Linked DNA regions of Lepisosteus oculatus. The protein of the gene in region 1 purifies or fractionates together with the protein of each later gene. This does not show direct contact. Links are inferred from orthologs where the notes say so. Each region holds a gene or a part of one and is shown in the gene's direction. Other genes may lie near its edges. The genes, in order: rbm17, sf3a3 and cherp.

Evidence for each region.
Region 2: the proteins of rbm17 (region 1) and sf3a3 purify together in Homo sapiens (affinity purification with mass spectrometry; 4 studies listed by BioGRID and IntAct, counting the BioPlex papers as one, with this or other methods). This does not show direct contact. The link is inferred for Lepisosteus oculatus from reciprocal best matches to the Homo sapiens genes RBM17 and SF3A3.
Region 3: the proteins of rbm17 (region 1) and cherp purify together in Homo sapiens (co-immunoprecipitation; 4 studies listed by BioGRID and IntAct, counting the BioPlex papers as one, with this or other methods). This does not show direct contact. The link is inferred for Lepisosteus oculatus from reciprocal best matches to the Homo sapiens genes RBM17 and CHERP.

Annotation. Positions count from the first base shown.
Region 1 is NC_090702.1:43,509,676-43,517,131, reverse strand, and holds the start of rbm17 (splicing factor 45), read left to right. Parts: upstream 1-4,401; 5' UTR 4,402-4,502; intron 4,503-6,894; 5' UTR 6,895-6,915; coding exon 6,916-7,038; intron 7,039-7,332; coding exon 7,333-7,449; intron 7,450-7,456. UniProt on the Homo sapiens protein: Splice factor that binds to the single-stranded 3'AG at the exon/intron border and promotes its utilization in the second catalytic step. Involved in the regulation of alternative splicing and the utilization of cryptic splice sites.
Region 2 is NC_090706.1:5,552,878-5,560,789, forward strand, and holds the start of sf3a3 (splicing factor 3A subunit 3), read left to right. Parts: upstream 1-4,897; 5' UTR 4,898-5,043; coding exon 5,044-5,139; intron 5,140-5,983; coding exon 5,984-6,031; intron 6,032-6,410; coding exon 6,411-6,463; intron 6,464-6,831; coding exon 6,832-6,937; intron 6,938-7,078; coding exon 7,079-7,151; intron 7,152-7,489; coding exon 7,490-7,581; intron 7,582-7,912. Other genes in the region: centrosome-associated protein 350, read right to left, coding at 113-248, 1,064-1,242, 1,999-2,092, 2,954-3,028. UniProt on the Homo sapiens protein: Component of the 17S U2 SnRNP complex of the spliceosome, a large ribonucleoprotein complex that removes introns from transcribed pre-mRNAs.
Region 3 is NC_090724.1:5,323,631-5,330,741, forward strand, and holds the start of cherp (calcium homeostasis endoplasmic reticulum protein), read left to right. Parts: upstream 1-4,096; 5' UTR 4,097-4,293; intron 4,294-4,590; exon of another isoform or gene 4,591-4,615; 5' UTR 4,616-4,900; coding exon 4,901-4,925; intron 4,926-5,785; coding exon 5,786-5,959; intron 5,960-6,628; coding exon 6,629-6,667; intron 6,668-7,111. Other genes in the region: safb (scaffold attachment factor B1), read right to left, coding at 517-544, 1,120-1,191, 1,539-1,769, 1,860-1,924, 2,325-2,412, 3,737-3,904. UniProt on the Homo sapiens protein: Involved in calcium homeostasis, growth and proliferation.

The DNA of each region.
Region 1 (7,456 bases):
GTTCTTACACATTCTTCTTTGATACTTGCTGCTTCTTTGCTGCCATTTTTTCTTAATAATGGAACTTTCTTGGACACCATCTAATCTGCTTGCAATTCTAATTAGGCTCGGAGTTTTGACTGCCATCTGGTATTTGTTGAAAACACTCAAACAACTTCTCTGACAAAACTACAAGGCAAAACAAAGCAAAACCTGATATAAACAAAGCAGGTTGTTCTGCCTGTCAAAATCTTTCATGTGGCAAATTGCTACCTTAAAGAATCAAGGCTGCCACAGACCAATCAAATTGAAGGTCTGGGTAGATACTGTATTATAAGTATTATAACAATATAAGATATTGTAACAAACGTGGTAGAGCTCGTAGAACATGGAATAACAGCAACATACACATAGAGCATACAATATTGTGTTTTTAGATTTTCAGATTTGATGAAGTTCCAAGAAAGATTAATTCTCAAACTGTTGGTGGTAGGCATTCAAGGAAATGCAGTAATCTAGTGTGAGAACTGAATAAGGAGAAGGAGGTAGAGTACAGATAAAGGGTAACTGTTCAGACTGGGGTGATATAGTAGGAAGAGTAAGATAGAGATCTGCTCTTGCTAATGTACTGTATGTGAATGATGTAGATTCTGGTTTAGTGAGAGTTAGTTATAACTAGTCAAGTTTGCAGATGATACCTAAACAGGAGGAATAGTAATCACTCTAGAAGCAAAACAAATAAAAAAGAATTCAGAGAACGTTCAAGACTGGGCAAACATCTGGTAGATTATATTTAATTTAGACATGTTTGTGGTTTTTGTGCAGGAAGTAAAAGCAAAGCATAAATACAAAATGGGAAACTGAGCAAGTAGAGGCTACTTTTAAAAGACCGAGGCGCTCACGCTAACGAACATTTATATCATCCAATGCTGGGCACCAATAAAAACAAAATGTTAGGCAATATACTGTAGTTATAAGTGCAAAATTTAAATAGAGGGATAATATTTCCACAGCTCTAGTAAATCCTCATTTAGAATAGTACGTACACTCTTTGGCACCAGGTTATAAGATATAGATATTGCTGCTCTGGAACCTGTCCAGAGCATAAGAGATACAGTACATTGATGAGATCCATGTATCCAAAATCCTCCAAGGCATCAACAAAGTCAACTTAGTGGACTATTTTTTAGTATAAATAGTGAAACACAATGTTTGTAAAATTGCATTTGAAACCAAGAACAGGAGACACTTATTTAGCAAAGGGTGGAGGGTGTCTAGAGTAAGTCTGCCCAGTGCTGTTGTCAAAAACGATAACCTGGCTTCTTTCCTGACATCCTTGAATCAGATTACAGTTAGCTACAACAACTGAATGGGCTACATGGACCAAATGGCTTCCCCTTGGCTGTAGCCGTACTCATGTTCTTATGATGCTGAAGATCCTTGTTTACTTAAGAAACACAAAACAGTCTACAGTAACTAATGCATCACGAAGCCAGACTTCTGTGATTTAACTTTTTCCTGGAAACTTTGCCTGGGGTTTCCGCCCTTGCCACTCCTGCCCTGCCAGTTCGTCCCTCACTGCCTGGGCACGAACCTGGGTCTCCACCGTCACGGAACAGGGAACTTGCCAGCTGAGCTAAAGGAGAACTCCCCCAGCCCGGGCAGCTGAGATCCCTGTTATATACAGGGGCGTTTCATTACACCTGCAATCTCTGTTTGAATTACACTAAGAAGTTATATGTATCTTATTTTAAACCTTTTCAAATCCTACCTTATAGGTATACCTTATTAAATATTTTAAAACTCTATAGTTGTTTAAACTCTGTTAAACCTAAATTGTCTAAGCATGTCAGCAATTCTGAGTGCAACACATTTAGGATGTCCTAAATATACCATAATATATTTTAGAAAATATTAAGAGAAAGGCATTAACAGATGCAACCAACATGCCTATTCAGTATATAAATATAAAGAGACAAAGAAATTAATTACCAGTATTAATGCTACCAGAGCAGTGGTTTTCAACCTTTTTTTAAAAAATCAATTAATTTCTAGAATCAAATTCAAATATCTGCATTTTTGCATCAGACGGTTGAAGTGAAGAGAGTATGAGGCTGTAGTCCTGTGATGTGGAGAAGGTTTATTGCCCTAATATTTACAGTGGGGGGGCATGCTGGTCACAGAGGTAGAGAAGGCAGGAGGAGAGACGATAAAATTAGACATTTTATTTATCATCTGGGCATTCACTCACAGACTGAGTCATTGCCCAACCCTATCAGATTTTACAACAAGCATTCATCTGGTGGTATATGGGCCACAAATAAGTGGGAAAGTTGTAACGATCTGACTTGATAACTACTTCCCAAATCAGTTTACAGCTAATAAGGATTTCAAGGTAAGCAGTATCTCTAAGTTTATAAGTTTTGGCAGGATGAATTCCTTCGCAGCAAAATAAACACAATTATACTTAGACTATCCTGGAAGGGGCCGTGAATCCTGGGTCCTTAATGGTGGTACCTCAGTCCCCTTCCAAGCCTCAAAGATTCCCTCCTGCTTTGTGAAGTGTCCTTACTTCTTTTGTGTTGGTCATGTAAAAAGACACTATCTTCACAAAGATCTGAATAAGGTCTTCTAATTTGAAAAGTGTAATAGATGTAAAAGATGTAATAGAGGACAGGCAAGGTTTTCCTGCTATGACACAAACTGGAATACTGCTTTTTGTTTTGTTAATGGGCGGATGTAGCTGTGGCTCAGGCAGTCTTCCAAGTTTCTCTGACTAGTTGACTTCTCCTTCTGATTTCTTCCTTCCTCTCAAAAAGAAAGAGGAACTTTCTTTTAAAACCCTAAGCTCCTTCTCTAGGCTCACACAAGTGTTACAAAAGATAGGACTAATTACCCAATTAAACTAATCAATCAACTTAAACCTGGCCTGGCTTCGATCATTGAAGAATAGTTAAATTCTCCAATATGAGACCTTCTGTGCCTTTCATTCATTTGTATCTACTGCTCCAAAGTGACCATAATTAAAACAATCACCCCCTGAATGCAATCACCCCCTGATGCAAGCTGCCATCACCTGTAGCTTCATGTTGGAACTCAACATGGGTTCAATTCCTAGGGTGTTATCTTCAGGGAGCTTTTATATTCTGCGGATATTCTCGTGGGGTTCCTTCAGCTGGTCTGGTGTCCTCCCACTGTCCAAAGACATACTGGTAGGTTAATTGGCTTCTGGGAAAATTGGCCCTAGTGTGAGTGTGTGTGTCTGCCCTGAGATGGACAGGTGTCTTATTCAGAGTGTATCCCACCTTGTGCCTGTTGCTTGCTGGGATAGGCTCTGGCTCCCAAGTGATTCTTAATTGGATGAAGAACTTAAAGGATGGATATCAGAAACTGCTAAGTCACTTTTTGGAAGCTGCCAGATGAGAGGTCAGCTATGTTTAAACATTTGCCCTCCTTTTTAACTTGTGGGTTCTAAAATATGTATATTGCTATAAAAAGCTTGGGAAATAGTTATTTGAATTTTGTGAAACACATTTGGCTTCTCCCTATTCCCTCTGTACTCAATAAAGCCCTAATTTGTTTAAAATTTCTATCATGTTTAGTCCACAATAACATAACAAATAGAGGTTCAGTATATGCCAGCAGCCATATCACCCTGCAACTTACTACTGACAACCCATTGACGCAAAGCAGGTGTCACTCTGGTGAGTATCTGGATGGGAGACCTCCTGGGAAAAGGTTAAGTTGCTGCTGCAAGAAGTGTTAATGGGACCAGCAGAGTGTGCTCCGTGGTCTGTGTGGGTCCTAATGCCCCAATATAGTAATGGGGATGCTATACTGTAAAAAGGTGCAGTCCTTCTGATGAGATGTAAAATATGACTCCTTGTGGTCATTAAGAGTAGGTGTGTAACCCTGGCGTCCTGACCAAATTTCCCCCTGATCTTTACCAATCATGGCCTCCTAATAATCCCCATCTATGAATTGGCTTCATCACTCTGTTCTCCTCCTCACTGACAGCTGATGTGTGGTGAGAGTACTGGCACATCATCCAGGTGGGGCTGCACGCTGGTGGTGGTGGAGGGGAGTCCCCATAATGTGTAACGTGAGTGGAATGTCCAGAAAAGTGAAGTGTAAAGAATTATTTGTATTATATAGTATAAATACCAGATAGTATATATTAGTATAGATATACTAAATAAACCGACCTGTAGATTTAAGTAGTATTTTGGCATGAAACTGTTATATCTGAAGTCCATCTGATCAGAAATGTTGAGTGCATTTTTTCTCTCTGACCTTCCGTCTCGGTTAGCGATATTTGTTTTTCCCTTGCGTAAAGCGACATCTAGTGTCAGAATAAAACGTTCCCGAGGTTCTGATATTCACGTGTAGTTTCAGTCCTCCACTGGGTGGTGGCAGCAGAGATTTTAACAGGGGGTCTTCATGTAACTCCGCTTTCTTTTTCCAGCGATGTCGTAAATATCTTCGTTTTTGAACGTTGTTTGATTGCGTTTGTATAAAGTCTGGTAGGTATTGTTTTAAATATAACCTAATAGCTAAAATATTTGAATTAAACGGTGTGGATTCTTAACTCTGGGTTTTAACCGTACCTGTGGCCCAGATATGGTTGTGATGTGCGGGTCAGTAAATGGAGTACACCGTTTCAAGTCCTTTTATTAGGAGAAATAAATATGTTCTTCTGCGAAACCTGACGTTTTGTTTCTGAAAGCTACTATATTGCGCTCTTTTGTATCAGTCGTAAGAAGGCGGTTATTGTTTGTAGGATTTCAATATGTTGTGCTTTTGTTATGATAAGCATGAATGGTGATGGCGCGCCACGTTTAGTTGAACTTAATCTTGTGAGTTTACAAGAACGTGTGTATTTCTTAAAGCTGTTAGTCATGGCGTATAAAAAAGTCCTGGGGAACGTTTTTACTTGTCTTTGCTTCCTTTATGTGAACATTTAATAAAGACGTACAATGTAATAGTTAATCTCTGTCTACGGACTGGAAGTCAAAATTGCAGTTATTCTAAAAAACTCGCAGTATTTATATGATATGTAAGGTGAAATATTAATAACTTTTTTAACATAAGTTCTATTCATAGCTCGAGTTTTGGGTAGTTCAACCATGATTAGCAAGTGTTGTGAAACAGCCCCTAAGTACTACAGTCATGTAAAAAAGAAAGTACACTATCTGTCAATTAAATGGTTTTACGTATCAGGGCATAAATAACAATCGTCTGGTCCTCACCAATTTCTGTATTTAGACAAACCTAGCCTCAGATAACACAACACATTACAGATTTCATTATGTCATTGTTTGTTCAACAAAAAGTAAGCCAAAATGCAGAAACCATGTGGGAAAAATTAAGTACACCCTTACTGCTTCCATAGGAATTAAGAAGGTAATTAGCAGCCAGGTAATGCTTATCAAATGCACTTGATTAGTTGATCAACAGGAAGCATGACCACCTCTATAAAAGCAGAAGTTTTGGCAGTTTGGTGATCTTGAGCATTCAGGTGTGTTAACACCATGCAAAGGAGAAAAGACATCAGCAATGAACTCAGAAAAGCAGTTGTTGCTGCTCATCAATCTGGGAAGGGTTATGAGGCCATTTCCAAATAATCTGAAATCCATCATTCTACAGCGAGAAGGATTATTTACAAATGGAGAACATTCAAGACAGTTGCCAATCTTCCCAGGAGTGGGCGTCCCAGCAAATTCATACCAAGGTCAGACCGTATAATGCTCAGCGAAATCGTAAAGAGCCCAAGAGCTACCTCTAGGGATCTACAGTCCCGGTTAACATGTTAAATGTTAAAGTTCATGACGGTACGATCAGAAAAAGACTGAACAAGTATGGCTTTCATGGAAGGGTAGCCAGGAGAAAGTCCCTTCTCTCCAAAGAGAACATGGCAGCACGGCTTAGGTTTGCAAAGTTGCATCTGAACAAACAAGAAGATTTCTGGAAAAGTGTGCTTTTGACAGGCGAGACCAAAGTGGAGATGTTTGGTCATTATGCACAACGCCATGTTTGGCGAAAAACCAAACACAGTGTATCACCACAAACACCTCATACCAACCGCCAAGCACGGTAGTGGAGGGGTGATGATTTGGGCTTGTTTTGCAGCTATAGGACTTGGGCACCTTGCAGTCATTGAGTTGACCACAAACCAAAGTATTCTAGAGACAAATGTGAGACCGTCTGCCCGACAGCTAAAGCTTGGCCGAAATTGGGTCATGAAACAGGACAACGATCTCAAGCACACCAGCAAATCGACAACTGAATGGCTGAAAAAGAAAAGAATCAAGGTGTTGGAATGGCCAAGTCAAAGTCCAGACCTCAACCCCATTGAGATGCTGTCTGTGAGACCTGAAGAGAGCTGTGCATAAACAGATGCCCTCAAACATCAGTGAACTGAAGCAATGTTGTAAAGAACAGTGTGCCAAAATTCCTCCAAAACAAGCGACTGGAGGAATATTTATAAGAGACCGATAAACTCATACAGGAAACGATTACTTCTGCTTCTGTAAGCTACTGAATCATGGGGTGGACTTAGTTTTTCACGCATGGCTTCTGCATGTTAGCTTATTTTTTGTTAAATTAAATAATGACATAGTGGAATCTGAGCTGTGTTGTTTATCACCTGAGGTTAGATTTACCTAACTGTAGGACCTGGTAAGGACCAGTTGATTTTTTGTTATGTCCTGATATATAAAACCATTTCAGAATTGAAAGAGGGTGTCCTTTCCTTTTCACATGACTGTCTATGTTGACTGCTGCCAGCCATGTCGCAGCGATGTAGTATTACAGGCTGTTGCATTTTTTGTGCAGGCTTTGTGAATTAGTATTCTCAATCTTTCTTTCAAAGTGCCGTTGGTCTGTTTTATCAAAAGATCCAATTTTGTCTCCAAGGTATTCCGGAACTAAAGGAACATGTCCCTCTATGATGACCTGGGAGTTGAGACCAGCGACACGAAAACGGAAGGCTGGTCCAAGAACTTCAAGCTGCTTCAGTCTCAGCTTCAGGTGAAGAAAGCAGCGCTGACACAGGCCAAGGTATGGGAGAGTACCGTTTCATTGGTTAGATCAGTTAATATGATAACGATATGAACATGATGTAGATGATGCATAGGTCAGATTGATTGATTTATTTATTCAGAAATATTTCTTTTAAATTTCATCAAGATTTTTTAATTAGGACCTTTGGTTGGAGCAGGGCACGAAGGAAATAACAGTAGAATGCACAGGAAGTTTTTCTTTTCAAAGCTGAAAATATTTTTAATGTAGTCTGAGGTGTGTTTTTGGTAAAATATGATGTTTAAATAGATTTAACACTTTTCCTCCTTTCAGAGCCAGCGTACAAAGCAGACTACAGTTTTAGCCCCGGTGATCGATCTGAAGAGGGGCAGCACCAGTGATGACAGACAGATCTCTGATACACCTCCCCATGTGGCAGCTGGCCTGAAAGTATGAA
Region 2 (7,912 bases), on another chromosome or scaffold:
TTACATGCAGTGCATAGCATGAAAAATGTAACATTGTGGCTAACATGTTTAATGGATAGATGATTCATTTTACTGTAGTAATGTATGATCACTTTTTGCATTTTGAACTTACTTTGCTTACTTGCACAAGCATCAAGCATGCAGTGATTTTCCAGGTCAGATTTGGATGTCGTTATGTCACTCTCTATGAAGCCACTGATATCATCTTCGAATAGAGCTCCATTTCTTGCCAAGATTTCTGATATGAGCTGGAAAAATTTTAAAAAGTAGATTACTTGCCCATTTGAATGACTTTAGGATCTTGCTGTGTACATTTTTCTATATTGGTGTGGAAGTGTGAAATAGCTGCATGTTGCGGCTTGCTTCTGAACTCTCGCTGCCAAATTAAAAAAATGAAAGCCAAAACAAATATCGACATACAAGTTAATTGTTTTTTGGCAGACACACTGATTTTATTTCCCCCTGCAGTGGTATATAAATGTGTTATTATTTTAAATTAATTTTCCAATGTATTGCATGTTACTAAAACCACTAATGTACTGTAAAATACCACCAATCATTAAACCATCTCTAGGTTATCAATACTTATTAACACTCACAACTAACAACTACAGCAAAGAGTGTTCAAAAGTTGTCATATGAGAAATTCATATAAGAAAAATGGACCCTGTGAGGGAATTCATCTCCGATTTTCCAATAAATCCAATCTTGTATGATCATTTTGACAAATAATGCCTCATTCTACCTTACAGAAGAACTGCATAGAAATATTTTCCACATTTATTTACACAGGACAAGAAAATCTAGAAGGAAACGAAAGTACTTAATCCATCATAGAAGGTGTTCCTAAACTCTAGGTCTTTGGGTCTAGAATTCATTAAGGTTTTTAGTCTCTTTAAATCATCAATAGTATAAGAGTCAAGGGGAAGAGTAACCCTTCTCCTAGATATATAGTTGTTTTAACTTAAAGAGACTGAGAATGCATGCTTGCTTGTGAACCTGTCAGGAACCTTGCAACAGTCTTTATGGATGCATATTCAGATACCTGTGGAGAAGGATATACCTGATCTCTCAGTTCCAGCTGTTTTCTCTGCAGCTCCAGAAACCTCTTTTCCCAAACAGCTTTTTCCTTTGAAATCTGTGATTTCAATAGCTGAATTTCACTCTCAGCTTTGGATAATCTCTTGCGAACCAAATTACTGCAGTCATGAAGGTTTGACGTCTCTTCTGAGACTTCAGTATCTAGAAGGAATGTTCAATAGAAAAAATGGTATAAGTGCACTTGGCACAGAGAAATGTGTTATTAGCAGACATCCCACAACCTCCAATAGGTATTTCAGTTTTTTTGCACTGAAGGGCCTCTGTTGTTTTACAGGCACTGATGTTTCCTACAATTTTGGGTTTTGTAAAGAATGCAGCACTCTGAAACACTACTCATTCAAGTTTAAAATCAAGATTAGTCATCTCAGACAAATTAATCTCCATTTTACAGAGCTCCAGTTCATGGTGAGCACCCTTTCAAATCACAAGCAAAGGTGGTGGTGTAAAGGTAAGATTTGTTTCTGAAAGGATAGATTGAAATATTGCGCTTTGAAGCATCTTGAAACATCAGAAAACTGTTTTCTGACATGTTATGCGCTCCCTCTGCTGGAAGTATGCGTGCATAACATCCTACGTCAAGATTACACTCGAGAGATAAAAACATTTTTATTTCGCGATTTAAAATTTCACCGTATTGTATTTTATAGTATTATTCTAGACTACATACTACAAAAAACATGGAACTTCTGCTGTAAGGTACATCCAGTAGAATAATCTGAGCAAAATAAACATCAACACAGCCTCAAATTAAAATGTTTCATTTCTGGCACCACTATTGAGGGTGTTCGTGGCGTAATGTAATAATAAAAGACTTGCACAACGTATTAACCTGAAATATTACTTTAATTAAAAACTTTTTATCTTCTCATCAGGAAAAAAAAATGATGAACCACAAACCTGTTTTTTCAAGCTTGGGGCTGTGAACTGTAAAATCTACAATCTTTCGCTTTTTACTGAGATAAGAAGACGTGATTGCTTGGAATGGGGTCACCTGGAATGAAAGACAGAAAAGTGAAAAACTTGGCCACAGTATGGAAACAACAGAAACGCCTAGTTATCCCTTCAAAGAGTTCCCAAGAAAACATTAGCCTATTCCGTTAAAATATTTAAATAAGAGTGATCGTGCTACACTTGGTACAAAAGAGATGGAACACATTTTACAAATATAGTACATCGAAAACTCTAAAATAAAACCTTTAGTCCTTTTAAATGGTTACATTTTAAGCAATTGAAGTCTAAAAAATTCCAACGAAATTAAAACTACATCAAGAATTCGTTATTGAAGTTTTTATTTTTCAGTCTTAAATGATAGGAGGTTGGCAAGACTTGCATATTCATTTATGTTAAAATTTATATAGAAATGCATGAATCTGCAAGTTCTACTATGTTTACTTTTCACATACTGTATAACAGTAAAGCTCATCAGTGAGCTCTGAATTCCAGATTATTTGTTTGCTTGCCCAACGATGTGAATGTGAAACCACAACGTTTGTTTAAATTACTATGGTTTTGTCATTCCTTTCTAGATATCATTTAGCACTGCATGTTATTTTAAAAAATGTAATAATAGTGTTACTGGGAAGTGCACAGCAATAAAACATAGGCTTTTGGCTATAATTACATCATGCAGTCCTGTCAGCTACAGACTAATAGCTCTCATCCTACATAACTACCATACTGTATATAGCTTTGCTTAATATCTGTCTTTATTCTTAAATAAAATCCCCATCAACACACCTGTATCTTGTTAAATGCAAACAGGCAATTAAATAAATACATAGGTTTTACTATCTTCACGTATGCTTTTATTTTGCTACTTTATAGTGTAGAGCCTGAAAGTTTTTTTACTTACCCACATAAATCTCCAGAAACATATCAGTCCTCTAAATGTCCAATCTAACATAGACCAGAACACACAGAAGACCATATTGAAGCCAGCTAGATCTGTGAACTATATACCCATTAGTGGAGCTATAAAGAAAAGGGATACAACAACAAACAGCTTCATCCAGTGGTGCAGAAATGTGGGTTAAGTCAGACACTATAAGCTTTTAGCCTGCATGTAATTACCATTTATTTTTTAGCAACAACTTTAAAAAGTCAACGCTTGAAAACATTATTTATTTTACCCAATAGAGGCTTTGCTTCAGCCATGTTGCAGTGGTTTAGTTAGAATCTGCGAGGGGACATATGAAACACAGTTTCTCAATGAGCATTTTAGCTCTCAAGGAAAATGAACATATCTAATTGATTTCTATACATTTACATATGACCAGCATATGCTGCCAGCAGCAGCCACTGAGGGCTCATGATTGAAGGACAGAGTAGCAGAACACATATAGTACAACTATTTTAGCCCTGCTGTCAGTTCTGCTAAATAATATCAGAAATCAGCATAGCCTAGTACATATTGCAGCTAATGCTACCTTTTAGTTCTGTGTCTTGGGAATCCTTAAAGCCTTTTCTAGAGAGATCCAATTGCTGCCATGTGGTGTGGAAGCCTTTTCTAGGTCAGAATGTAGTTACAGCCCAGGCGTGTTCCCTTGGCTATCGCCCTGTGTATAAATTCCCTGCTGTTGCTATGAGGGTTTGTTGACAGGTGAGAACCAATCCAGTTAATAAATCTAACCTAATCCTCTTAGCCATTGGTGCTGGACATCCAGTGGAACTCATACAAAAGTGAATTTGCCACTCTGCCCTAGTTAGCATGGTTTAAATCGTTCCTCTTTTGGTTATGTTTGAAAAGAAATGCCAGTTCTAGTTTTTCTAGACAAAACATAAAATAAGGTATTTGTTATTCTTGGAACACAGGACTAGTCCCAGAAATCACCCCCAGTGATTTTCAGATAATATACAAGATTTTATACAAAATCAAAACCTCACTGTTTACAGTGTTATTTAGATGCATATAAAACTGTTGCATACGAACATACTGTATTGCCAGGTTTTAAAAGGGCAAAGGTTTGAGTTGTTATTAGTTGACTAACAGTAATAAAGCAATAATAATTATACATTCTGCTTGCTTCCACCTTTCTCATCTATACGACACCCAAGGGTACAGTTATATTTCACAAAGAAGCAAAAAGATAGCACTGTAACTCTTGGTCTCTACTGTGAGGAACTTCCGTGGCGCATAATATTTAAATGTCATGCTCGTCCAGAACTTAAAAACCACAGTTGCTCACTAATCAACGTAACCAACTATTACTGAGAACCGAAATGATTTGGTATTGTAACGCTTACGGGTTCGTGCAGGACGAAATTAATCGGAGACGGACTAAACTCACTAACACCAATTTTTACTCTCCTTTACGTAAACAGACCACGGGATTTACGCACACATTACGGGACCAAGGGAACATGTACTCGGGTTTATGGTGGTAACTCTTTAACAGACTCTACACACTAACTTATAGGGCACTAAACTTCAGGGAACACTTAAACTAACACAGGTATATTTACATGAGTAGGGTCAGCTGCTGCTTACGGTTACGGACCCTCGGACTCCCCCGGCCTACAATTCCCAGCCTGCTTTGCGGTAGCCTCAACGCCGAGGTGCACTTCCTCCTCACCACCGGGCGATGTGTTTATTTGATATTGACAGTGTTTCGGATGAGTAAAATATAAAGTATTAAGTGCTGGTTTGAATATCTAAATTGAATTCATGAATTATTTTTTTCCTGTATTAACTTTTAAAATAGCGGTAATGATTTTGAGAAGTTACGACTTGACCAACACAAAAATGGACATGACGTCCCGGAATCTTTCGACTGCGTTTGTTGTTTCTCAGTTTGACACCGGACACTTTAGGGAGATGCTTTCCGGTAGTCTGTGATGTGGTGCGTGTTGCATTCGCCTCCGTCTGTGTGTTGTGACTGTACGGGAGTGAAGCGGGAAAGGCTACAACTTGTCTTTTGTATTTGTTTCTTGTTTCATTAAAACATGGAGACCATTTTGGAGCAGCAGCGGCGCTACCATGAGGAAAAAGAAAGGCTCATGGATGCCAAGACAAAAGAAATGCTACACAAAAAAACTACGGTAACTTGCGCAGCACCCGCCTTTGAGTTAGGCCCGTGTTTGTGGACCCGCAGATCCCGGCAAATTAGGGCAAACCTTTTTTTAGAAAAAAAGAAATCAGTAGGTCGGTTCTGTGTTGTTTATTTTAATGTTGCAGAACTCTTTCGTTGTTTCAAAATGTTTTACGTTCAAATAATATACTTGGTTTTAGACTGCATAAATAAATACTAGGTGCTTTAAGAGATTTCAGAGGCTGTTTTCAAGTTGTGGTGCACAGTTGTTTTCAGTGTTTTTATTCACAACCGCATACTTTAACTAATTACCTGGTTGAATGTAAAAAATGTAACCGCTTTCCTTGTTTTTAAGGTATTGGGTCTCTTCTACGCGTGTGAATACGTTTTTTAAACATTTTATTTTTGACCATATGAAGCAAACGATCTGCTTGCAGTTTTTGATTTTCCTTCACCGAGATTTGGAGCTGCTTGTGAACTTGAATAGATGAGCTGATTTTGCTTCACATGAGTTATATTCACGCTTTGTATTCTAGTGAAAAATTAGCAATCGGAAGTGGGATGCAGAAATAAAGTAGCTGGTGCCTTTTAACTTGCCCTTTCACCTATTTCTTTATTTAAATTATAGTCTTATTTGGAGGTGTAATTAAAAGTTCTTAGTATTATTACAAATTCTAGTTGTACTTTGGAGGATACAGTGACAGGTAACTTTCTGCTTCAAGCAACATAATTACCGTCCGTGATTTTGTCAACGGTGACGTTGGTCACACTCATATGTGTGCCGTATATGTATGGATTTTGGCAAACTATACATTCTGATTTGTCACAGAGCTGATTTTCTCTTTCTTGTTTAGTTAAGGGACCAGATAAACTCAGATCACCGGACAAGAGCAATGCTGGATGTGAGTAATGCGTTTATTTCCTATCTTAAGTCCTACAGCCACGTCGGATATTTGCTTGATTTGTGGTCCTTTTTTATTTCATGGGTAATTAAATAACATCCAGGAATTGGATGCTTGGAATGCTTGGTGAGACAAGCTTGGCTTAACCTGCTTGGTTAAACCCAGTTCAGACCAAGGGGCAGCTGCAAGGTGGAGACGGGTTTGAGTTGAGTATATGTAGCGAGTTACGTCATGATGATGGTGACTAGGTACAGCTCTGTGAGACTGACTTGTCACCCTTCCCGCACTTCAGTCAATAACTTCCACGTAATAAAATATAAGATTGTACCTCGTTAAGTATGTTTTAGAAAATACAACCGCATTTTAATTGCTTTTCCAGAGGTACATGGAAGTGAGTGCAAATCTGCGGGATTCCTATGAAGATAAAGATGGGTGAGTCTGTGGATCCAGCGGTTATTTCTGCTGGTATTGATATAAACACGTCATTGCAGAATGATTAAAAATGCTGCATGAACTCTTACTTCAGATGATCTGATTTTCGTTAACGAGTAGATTGCCAAACTAAATTGTTCTGCTGTGCTCTGAACAAATCACCAGAGAGTACCAGATTCTTCAGTTGCCTGTTGGTAGATTTGTCATACAAAGGAATTAAAACTAACTTGCTTTCACATATTGAGCAGGTAACATTTTAACTTTATATAACCATGACATTAGTAGATATTTACAAATGCATTTCTAAATATTTGGGTTTTTTTTTTTATTTGAATATAATGTTTCTTTCTGCATGCCTGTCCTCACAGAATGAGAAAGGAGGAGCTCAGTGCTATTTCGGGACCAAATGAATTTGCTGAATTCTACAACCGGTTGAAGCAGATAAAGGAATTTCACAGGAAACACCCCAATGAGGTGAACTTACACACAACAACAAGGCATTTACCTGAGATTGCAGTTTAATTGTGATCTAACGTTTCATATTAAACATGCTTTTCTGTTCCAGAACTGTTTATCCTTCTTTCTTAATCATGTTAATGTTTTTTGATCATTTAGATCTGTGTTCCCATGTCTGTTGAATTTGAAGAGCTAATGAAAGCCAGAGAAAACCCCAGTGAAGAAGCACAGAGTAAGACGAAAATCTTTTGAGATTAATCCAATTATGATTTGGAAGGAAAGCAAATCCTTTTTACATGAATGCATTATCTAACTCCTTTCACAGTAAATCTTTTCTTAGATCTCTTCCTAGTCTCTTTCTTTAGTTTATTTTGTGACCTTGTTGACTTTTTTCTAGTGGTATTTCTGCATTGTTAATCTCAGAGATGTAAACTTGATGAAGAAGGCAGAATTATGACTAAGAATAACAGTTATTTGGTGATGTTATCTTGAGTAACAAATATCTTTAGTTGTGTTCTAACCTATTGTTCGTAAGACACTCACTTCTTAATGTTTTGTAAATATTGTTAGATTTAGTTGAATTCACTGATGAGGAAGGATATGGGCGATATCTTGATCTTCATGATTGTTACCTGAAGTACATCAACCTGAAAGGAGCAGAGGTAAGATCTTGGATTTAGCTTTATTTTGTTTCACTTGTGCACTTGGATATCATTAACTGCTGGATAAGGAAATAAAAATGGGTATTTGATCAGGATTGTCCATTTGGGTACGAATAGATCATTGTTCCTACCAAGAATCTGCTTTATGCATGGATAACTTTCAAGAAGTGCTTTGTGTCTTAAATCGATTTTCATTTAGTTGTCTTTTGTATTGTCTGGGTTGCAGTACATTGTAAATCTGAAGACATTGTTGTCCTGACTTTGTCGGTACCTTTGAGAATTTTGAGATTAATGTCTTTCAATATCGCATTCCAACAATCTCAGGAATATA
Region 3 (7,111 bases), on another chromosome or scaffold:
TAGTTAAGAGTTCATTAAGGATAGCTCCAAGTTGTACACTAGAAAATGAGTCCTAAAATGGATCGCGGGGCGATTTTTTCTTTAACCGTTTCCAATGCCGGACTCCAATCTTCTCTTCTTGACTTCTGTCTTCATTTGTGGCAAGTGGCAACCTAAAAACACTGCACATCATCTGCAACGGCTAAGCGAAGACCTTATTCAAAACACTAAGCGTGCTGCTTAAATCACTGGCCCTGTGCTTTCACTAACCACCCTGACAACATCGATCTGTGTCAGCAGCGGAAAATGTGGACAACCCACTTGTAATATCAAAAGCCAATGAATTAAGGTTAGCGAAATAATCAGTCTATGGGTTTTGGAACACAGAGCCAGTAACTCTCTTTGGGTTTCCAGTCTCTATTTGGGAACAACGTTTTAGCGCACGAACACCGACGTCAAGCATTTGCTTAATCAAGATTCACACACTGTGGGAAAAGACTGAGTTACTACATGTTATACTTTCGTTCTGAACAGTACCTGTTTCGTCCTTAATGTCTTCAGATTCCTATGGAAAAAAAGAGGAAACAATTGTGACTGTGAAGATCATTATAAACGAATGAACCAATTAATATATTTTAGCATATTTCAAGATACATGACAGATTTGATAAATGCTGAAATATGTAAATATATCCGCGGCATGTTGGGTAAGCGATTGAGACTCCATTGCCACTAGAGGCCGGTAAATGACCTCATATTATACTTCTGTTCACTAAAAGTGGGATTAAGTCATTAACTGAATGTGAAAGGAATGCCACATTTGCACATGGGTGTAAATTAGTTTAGTGTAAAAAAAGATCTCAATAGAAGCTGGTTTAGGGTTGTTAAACAAGCCAGGTATTTCTACAGTAGGTAATCCTACTGTAATTTGTTGTGCCAATGTGAGTTTTAATGTGCTCAGGACCCTTGAGATACCTTGATTAAGCTGAGGTCTATGAAAGCATCTTTTATGTGTTACCTAACCTACATACCTCAAGATTCATGAGCAATCAGTATAACACTATGACAAATGACACAACTGTACAAAATTTCAATAAAAGCAAATTTAAAAACAAAAACTTAAAAGGAAGCTTTAACATACCTCTTTCGATTCAGCAGACTCAAGATCCTCCACGTTTGGAGCACAGTCACCTTCAGCCTCCATATTCTCATCCTAAAATTGCAGCAGATAAAACAAGTTAATATTTGCCAAATAAATGACAGCCATCTACACAGCAGATGGGAACTGCCTGAGTTTTACTAGTGACATGTCAAACGAGAAATTGAGGACATTTAGCCATATCAAAGGATTAGAAAATTCTAAAAAAGGGATTTCAGAAATAAAAATAGTGACATCATTAGGGAAAAAAACTTTTCAAAGCTTATATGCAGTCTGTAAAAGCTCACAAAAACATGTTTTCTGAATTCTTAGTAAAGTATAAGCCCCTTTTTTCCCCCAGAGACATATTTATAGAATAAATGTGGCTGATGGCCTTTGAAAGAGAAAACAAGGCTCTTCACCTCTTCAGGCTTCTGATCGGATTCTGGGACAGGAGAATCTGAGCTGTCGTGGGCAAAGCTCTCCGGAATGCCTTCAGCATCTCCTTCATTGGAAAGTGAATCAAGAATTTCATCGGCATCGTACTCGTCACAGTCTGCTGGGATGCCATTATCGATCTCGGCCTCATCCAAGACACTCATGTCCATGATGTCCATCTCCTGGAGATTTTCCAAGTTTACTTCCGGGTCATCCTACACAAGATAAATGTTTTTTTTTTATTTTGAATTTAAATGTATGGTCACTCCATTTTTGTACAATCAAGGATGCATCACAACACTCACCTGCCCATCTCCCGAATCTTCTTCAATAGTGCTATCTTCAAGACCATCACTCTCCTGTCGTTTTCCTAAAGGAGGATGAAAGCAGAAGTAAACCAACCACCCACAAAGAACACAGATAGCTGAATTTCCAGGTGGAAAAAAAAAATATTCTGTACATTTTAGCTGTGTTAAAACAAATCAACTTTCACATCTATGACCAAAGGTGCAGTTTTAGGCCAAAAAGCAAACCACCAAGTTAGCCAAGTACCATCTAGCCTAATGGACAGCGATAACACTTGACCTCCTCAAGAAAGTGTAGCAAGAAACTAGGCATATCTTATCCCTCAAGATCTGACCTACAATCACCCAAAAGGTGGGGGATAAAAAATATATATTTCTTGGATTCGTAGCCAAGGTTCAAAACTCTCAAGAGGATCTTAAGGCAAGAATTTAAGGAATGGATTAAAAGAATTCCACCCAGTGTACCTTTGGGGGTCCTCTTCGGGGTCTTCTTGGGAGCTGCCTCAAGTGTGACAAGAATTTCGTCTGGGTTCCCTCCTTCCTCTTCAATTGCCTGTGGGGAAATTGAAAACATGTTAATGTTTACCAAAAACATTCTGAAGCAACACCTTGCACATCCAATGTGACCCAAAACACCTTAAGGACCTAACATCAAATTGTGTAACTAATAAATAATTCCTTGAACCTGACAGTTCTATTAATTCCAGATTATTTTACATATAGGAGGGGACGCACCTCATCTATCACTGGTGTACAGCCCCACCCAGGCGGCGTGCAGCAACCCCACTACACTACTGACTTGAGAAGTGAGAAACTCCTTTACGAACTGAATCAGGGTACTTTAGGAAGGTCAAGCTGTCCATGCCCAAAGCAGTACTGAGCCAGCACACTGGAGTAGCATCCTATCTCTTAAAAACAGTGCCACGGGACTTTGAATGATCAGGCAAACAGCACAGTCAAGATGACAGTTGAACATCTCATCTGAAGGCCTACATCAGGGAACTGGATCAGCATTTCTATTTCCAGGAAGAAGGACACCTAGCTGTAAGTCTGGGTGCGACACCGGTCTCGCATTCTGCTTTTGATCAGGCAAAATCTGGCTTATGTTCTAAAATTTCACCTTAAATAACTCCTATGACCGTACATTTACGTGGGAAACTGTTAATATAACATGCTATAAGTTATCCCATCTGCACTAAAATGTACTGCAGTAACCCGCATGGCTCCCTGAAGACACTGTAAATGAAACTGCGGCGGTCACGATCAAACCCAACTCCTTCTCGATCCCAGAAATATGTACTTCATTTAAAACCACACGGTTATAATCGTTCTTTAGAAAACAAATCAGCGGTGTTTTCCTGGTCTATTCACCACTGATGTAACGCGTATGTCAATACGATTTAGATCCACGAATTGCGTTAATATAGCCTATTAAGTAACAGCAATCAAAATCAAAGTACCAGGAGTTGCGCCAACATTGCGCACCAGGTCCTTAAGCGATTTTTAATTTCTCAATGACAGCTCTCGGTTTCTTTTATGGCAAAAAAAAAACCGTAAGATAAACCGAAATAATATCATTTCAGGGTAACACGCAGCCTCTCACATCGACAACAGCAATCTGTAATGTGTATTATACCATGTAACTAGAGCATTTTTAGCAACTGCCGAGACAAAAATAAATTACATAAGCATCTCGTGTTCAAAAACGGTGCACACTCCTACGCAAACTCAGGCAACTGATTAATAAGGCAATGCGGACTTTACTCGAAAATACCCTCTACCTATACAATACGGAACTACATTTCCATGAAGGGTACGCCACAGAAACACTTCTCTTATCTGTTTAAATGCACGAACAAATCCGAGGCCTACAGCACCTTTTTGAGCCTTTCCGACAACATGCTCTTGTTGCCGCTGGTGTCCAGATTCCGTTTCTTCAGTTCAGCTTTCAGGTCGATCACTCGCAAATCCGACAGCTTGCGGACCCCCATGCCTTCCGGGATCTCGGTCGACACCGGGTCTGCGCCCGACAAACCTTCAGCCATCGCGTGCCCGTGAACACAAAGCAGAAAGAAAGAGCGGGTGAAATAAGCGAGACGCCCGAGAGGTAATGCTCGCTGGCTCGGTAGCGCACAAACAAAATGGCGTCTCCCCGCGGAGGAGGCGGGCCGTGGAGGAGGGAGAGCTGCGCATGCGCCTTCCGGCGAGAGCGCGCCGCCGGAGTCTGCGCACTGGCTCGAGGTTCCCGCGTTGTCATTAGGAAAAAAACGGCTACATGTCTAATTCTGCTTTAGAGTAAAACAGTGATTTCACGAGTAAGAGGTTCTGGATACTCTGATACTGTGGTAATACTGTGGCAAAAATACACTTTTCGCGCGTCTCACGACCATGGGATAGTGGTCTTCACACTCCCCACGAAAAGTGGGATAGAAAGGTATTGTCCTCACAATACTCGGTGATGCTCGGTGCACAAAAATTTGCGATTAAAAAAAATCCATTTAATTTGGGGTTTCAACGTAAGGTTCCGTTTTTTAAAACCGTGTTCATACACAGATTTTATGCGGAAAATGTACTCGTTATGATATACAAAAGCAGATCAAGATTCAAAACTTCAGAACGTATTTGTTACCGGCAATTAAGGATTCCCACAAATAATATCTTCTGGAATAAATGAAAAGCCATGAAATGCCCCCCCTTAATGGTACCGACCCAACACATTTCATGAAATTACCGAGTGTTTTTTTTTCACCCGAAAGACGGGGAAGGAGTTCTCCGAAGTTTCTAGACGCCGACCGCGAATTCTTCTGGCTCACCAGCGCCTTTCAGTGTCAGCGGGCCTCCTCTCCGCCAGGCGGCGCTACAGGCGCTTAGAGGCCTCTTGGAGGGAGAGACGACCCGCAGTGTAAAAAAAAATATGAATCTGTTACACTTGAAGATGCGCTTCCGGTTGAGCCCTGAGAGGAATGGGCAGCGTTTTACTGAGTTAAACTGGGAGCTGTTTTACTAGCGATCCGTGCTGTCCGAGTGTGCCTCTTGTAGCCATGGATATCCCAGCGCCACCCGAGGGTAAGAAACGACCGCAGAAGTCCAGATTTGGATTTATTTTTAGGTTTTTGGTTTACCTTGCGTGCTGTTGGCGATGTGTGCCATGGGCCTCACGCCTTCCTCCAAGCGGACATTGTATTGAAATGAATGATGTTGTATTTGCATCGTTCAAGCAGCCCGCCGTTAAAGTGTGAACCCTTCACTTGGCCTGTATCGATACATACCTCATACTTTACCAGTCTCCATTGGTTTATTTTAGCAGTCGTTTTGTTAACGTTGTATATTCTAATCTGGTGCAGCCAGTCGTCTCGCAAGAGATCGACGTCAATATAAATCTTAGTGTATTTCTTTCTTTGTAAGAGAAAATAACAGACCCTAAGCTCAACAGATGTTGAAATCACGCACCTATTATAACGGCCAAGTAATTTTGAGAAAAGCCCACAAAGTGGATTTGATAGGGGCATAAACAGTGTTACGTGAGTGCGTTAAAGTAAGTGTGGCGTGACACCTTTAAGTGCCCTGAAGAATCAGATTCAGCGAACACATAGCAAAACGGACTCTCTTAAATCAACAGAGACAATCTCATAAATGTATAAATGTATGTGGTGGATTGTTCCATCGCTTTGCAAATTCTTATTTTGGGTTTATCTCACGTTTTGGGTGATAGGTAGATATAGAAAGACAGGTACTGTCAATAAAGGCTCCACTATATACGAGATTTGCAAATGTGTTGCATTCTGCAGAAACTGTAAAATAAATAATGTATGTTTTACCAAGCCTCAAATACATTAGCCCTTCATCAAATCCTGAAAGGTAACGTATTTGGTCCGTAAGCAACAGTGGGCCGTGTTTAACACTGGGTTCATTTTGTATTTCTGCAGACCAGGAGCTGAGGAATGTCATCGATAAATTGGCCCAGTTTGTGGCCCGGAATGGCCCAGAGTTTGAGAAGATGACGATGGAGAAGCAGAAGGAAAACCCCAAATTCTCCTTCCTGTTTGGCGGAGAGTTCTTCAACTACTACAAGTACAAACTGGCCGTTGAGCAGCAACAGCGTACGTTCTCTGCTGTCTACCCCGAATCCACTGCCTGTGCTTCTCGTTACATTGAAAGAACGCTGCTTTATGTGGTCGAGTCTGGTTAAGGAAATATGCAGATGTTTTTTTTTTTTAACTACTCTGTTTTCTTATACTCAGGAGTCAAATATTGTCTTTTATTTTGAAGAGCAGCACAGCAGGGATTTCAGATTTCTATTCCAAATTCCCTTTCATCTCATGTAATCAAGTAACTTGCTTTGTTAAAGATAATAAGTAGTTAAGTAACAGAAAATTGGTGTGGATGAGAAGTGTTTCATAAGGATATGTTTTAACCTTTAAAATGTGCTGCATTTTTAAAGCTATTTTATGTTAAATTAAATGAAACACTAATGAGATTTTTTTAACAAGTGTGATTAGTTTTTAATTGTAATGGACTCATAATGGCAACATTTGCAAAAGTATTTTGTAGTTTTCTTCATTATAGGCAGGCATCAGTACAAAAAAGAGGATGCTCTTTCTCAGTTTACTTTGCTAAGCATGATAGAGATGCACCTTTTAATTGTTAACACTGAAACTGCAGTAAGTCATAGAGGCTTAAGATTAAATCATTTCCATAACAATTGTTTTTCTAAAGAAGCGATCAACCCAGCAGTGTTCTGTATTAAAGGTGTCCTTCTTTCCTTATAGATTCTACTACACACGAATGTGAGGAGTATAAGTTGGAAGGTATTTATTAGAATGTTACTCAGCAGTTCCATTTTGACAGAAGGATACCCAGACATGCTCTTTTTTTAATTTTCATTCTGGCATGATCAAAGATCTGAGGCTGAGTTGCATTTCTATTTTTATGTTTATTTGAGCTTTATTTTTCATTTTGTTTTTTTTTTTGTATAGTTCAAACATGGACTTTTGATTATTTGTGGCTCATGGCTGTTATCGGGGATTCTGGGGTTACTGGATGTTCAGCCTAAATAGATACTGTTTTTGATCACAGAGATTATAGCAAGTACCAGAGTCTGATGTTCAGTATTTCAGACACTTGCTGAAGTGTTTAACCTGTATCGCTTGGCACTGTGAATATTAAAGACAGTGTGCCTTCTTTTGCTGCATGATATAGGCAGGGTTTGGGTTGATACTTTGTTTAGAAAATCAGCTGTTTCCTATTTACAC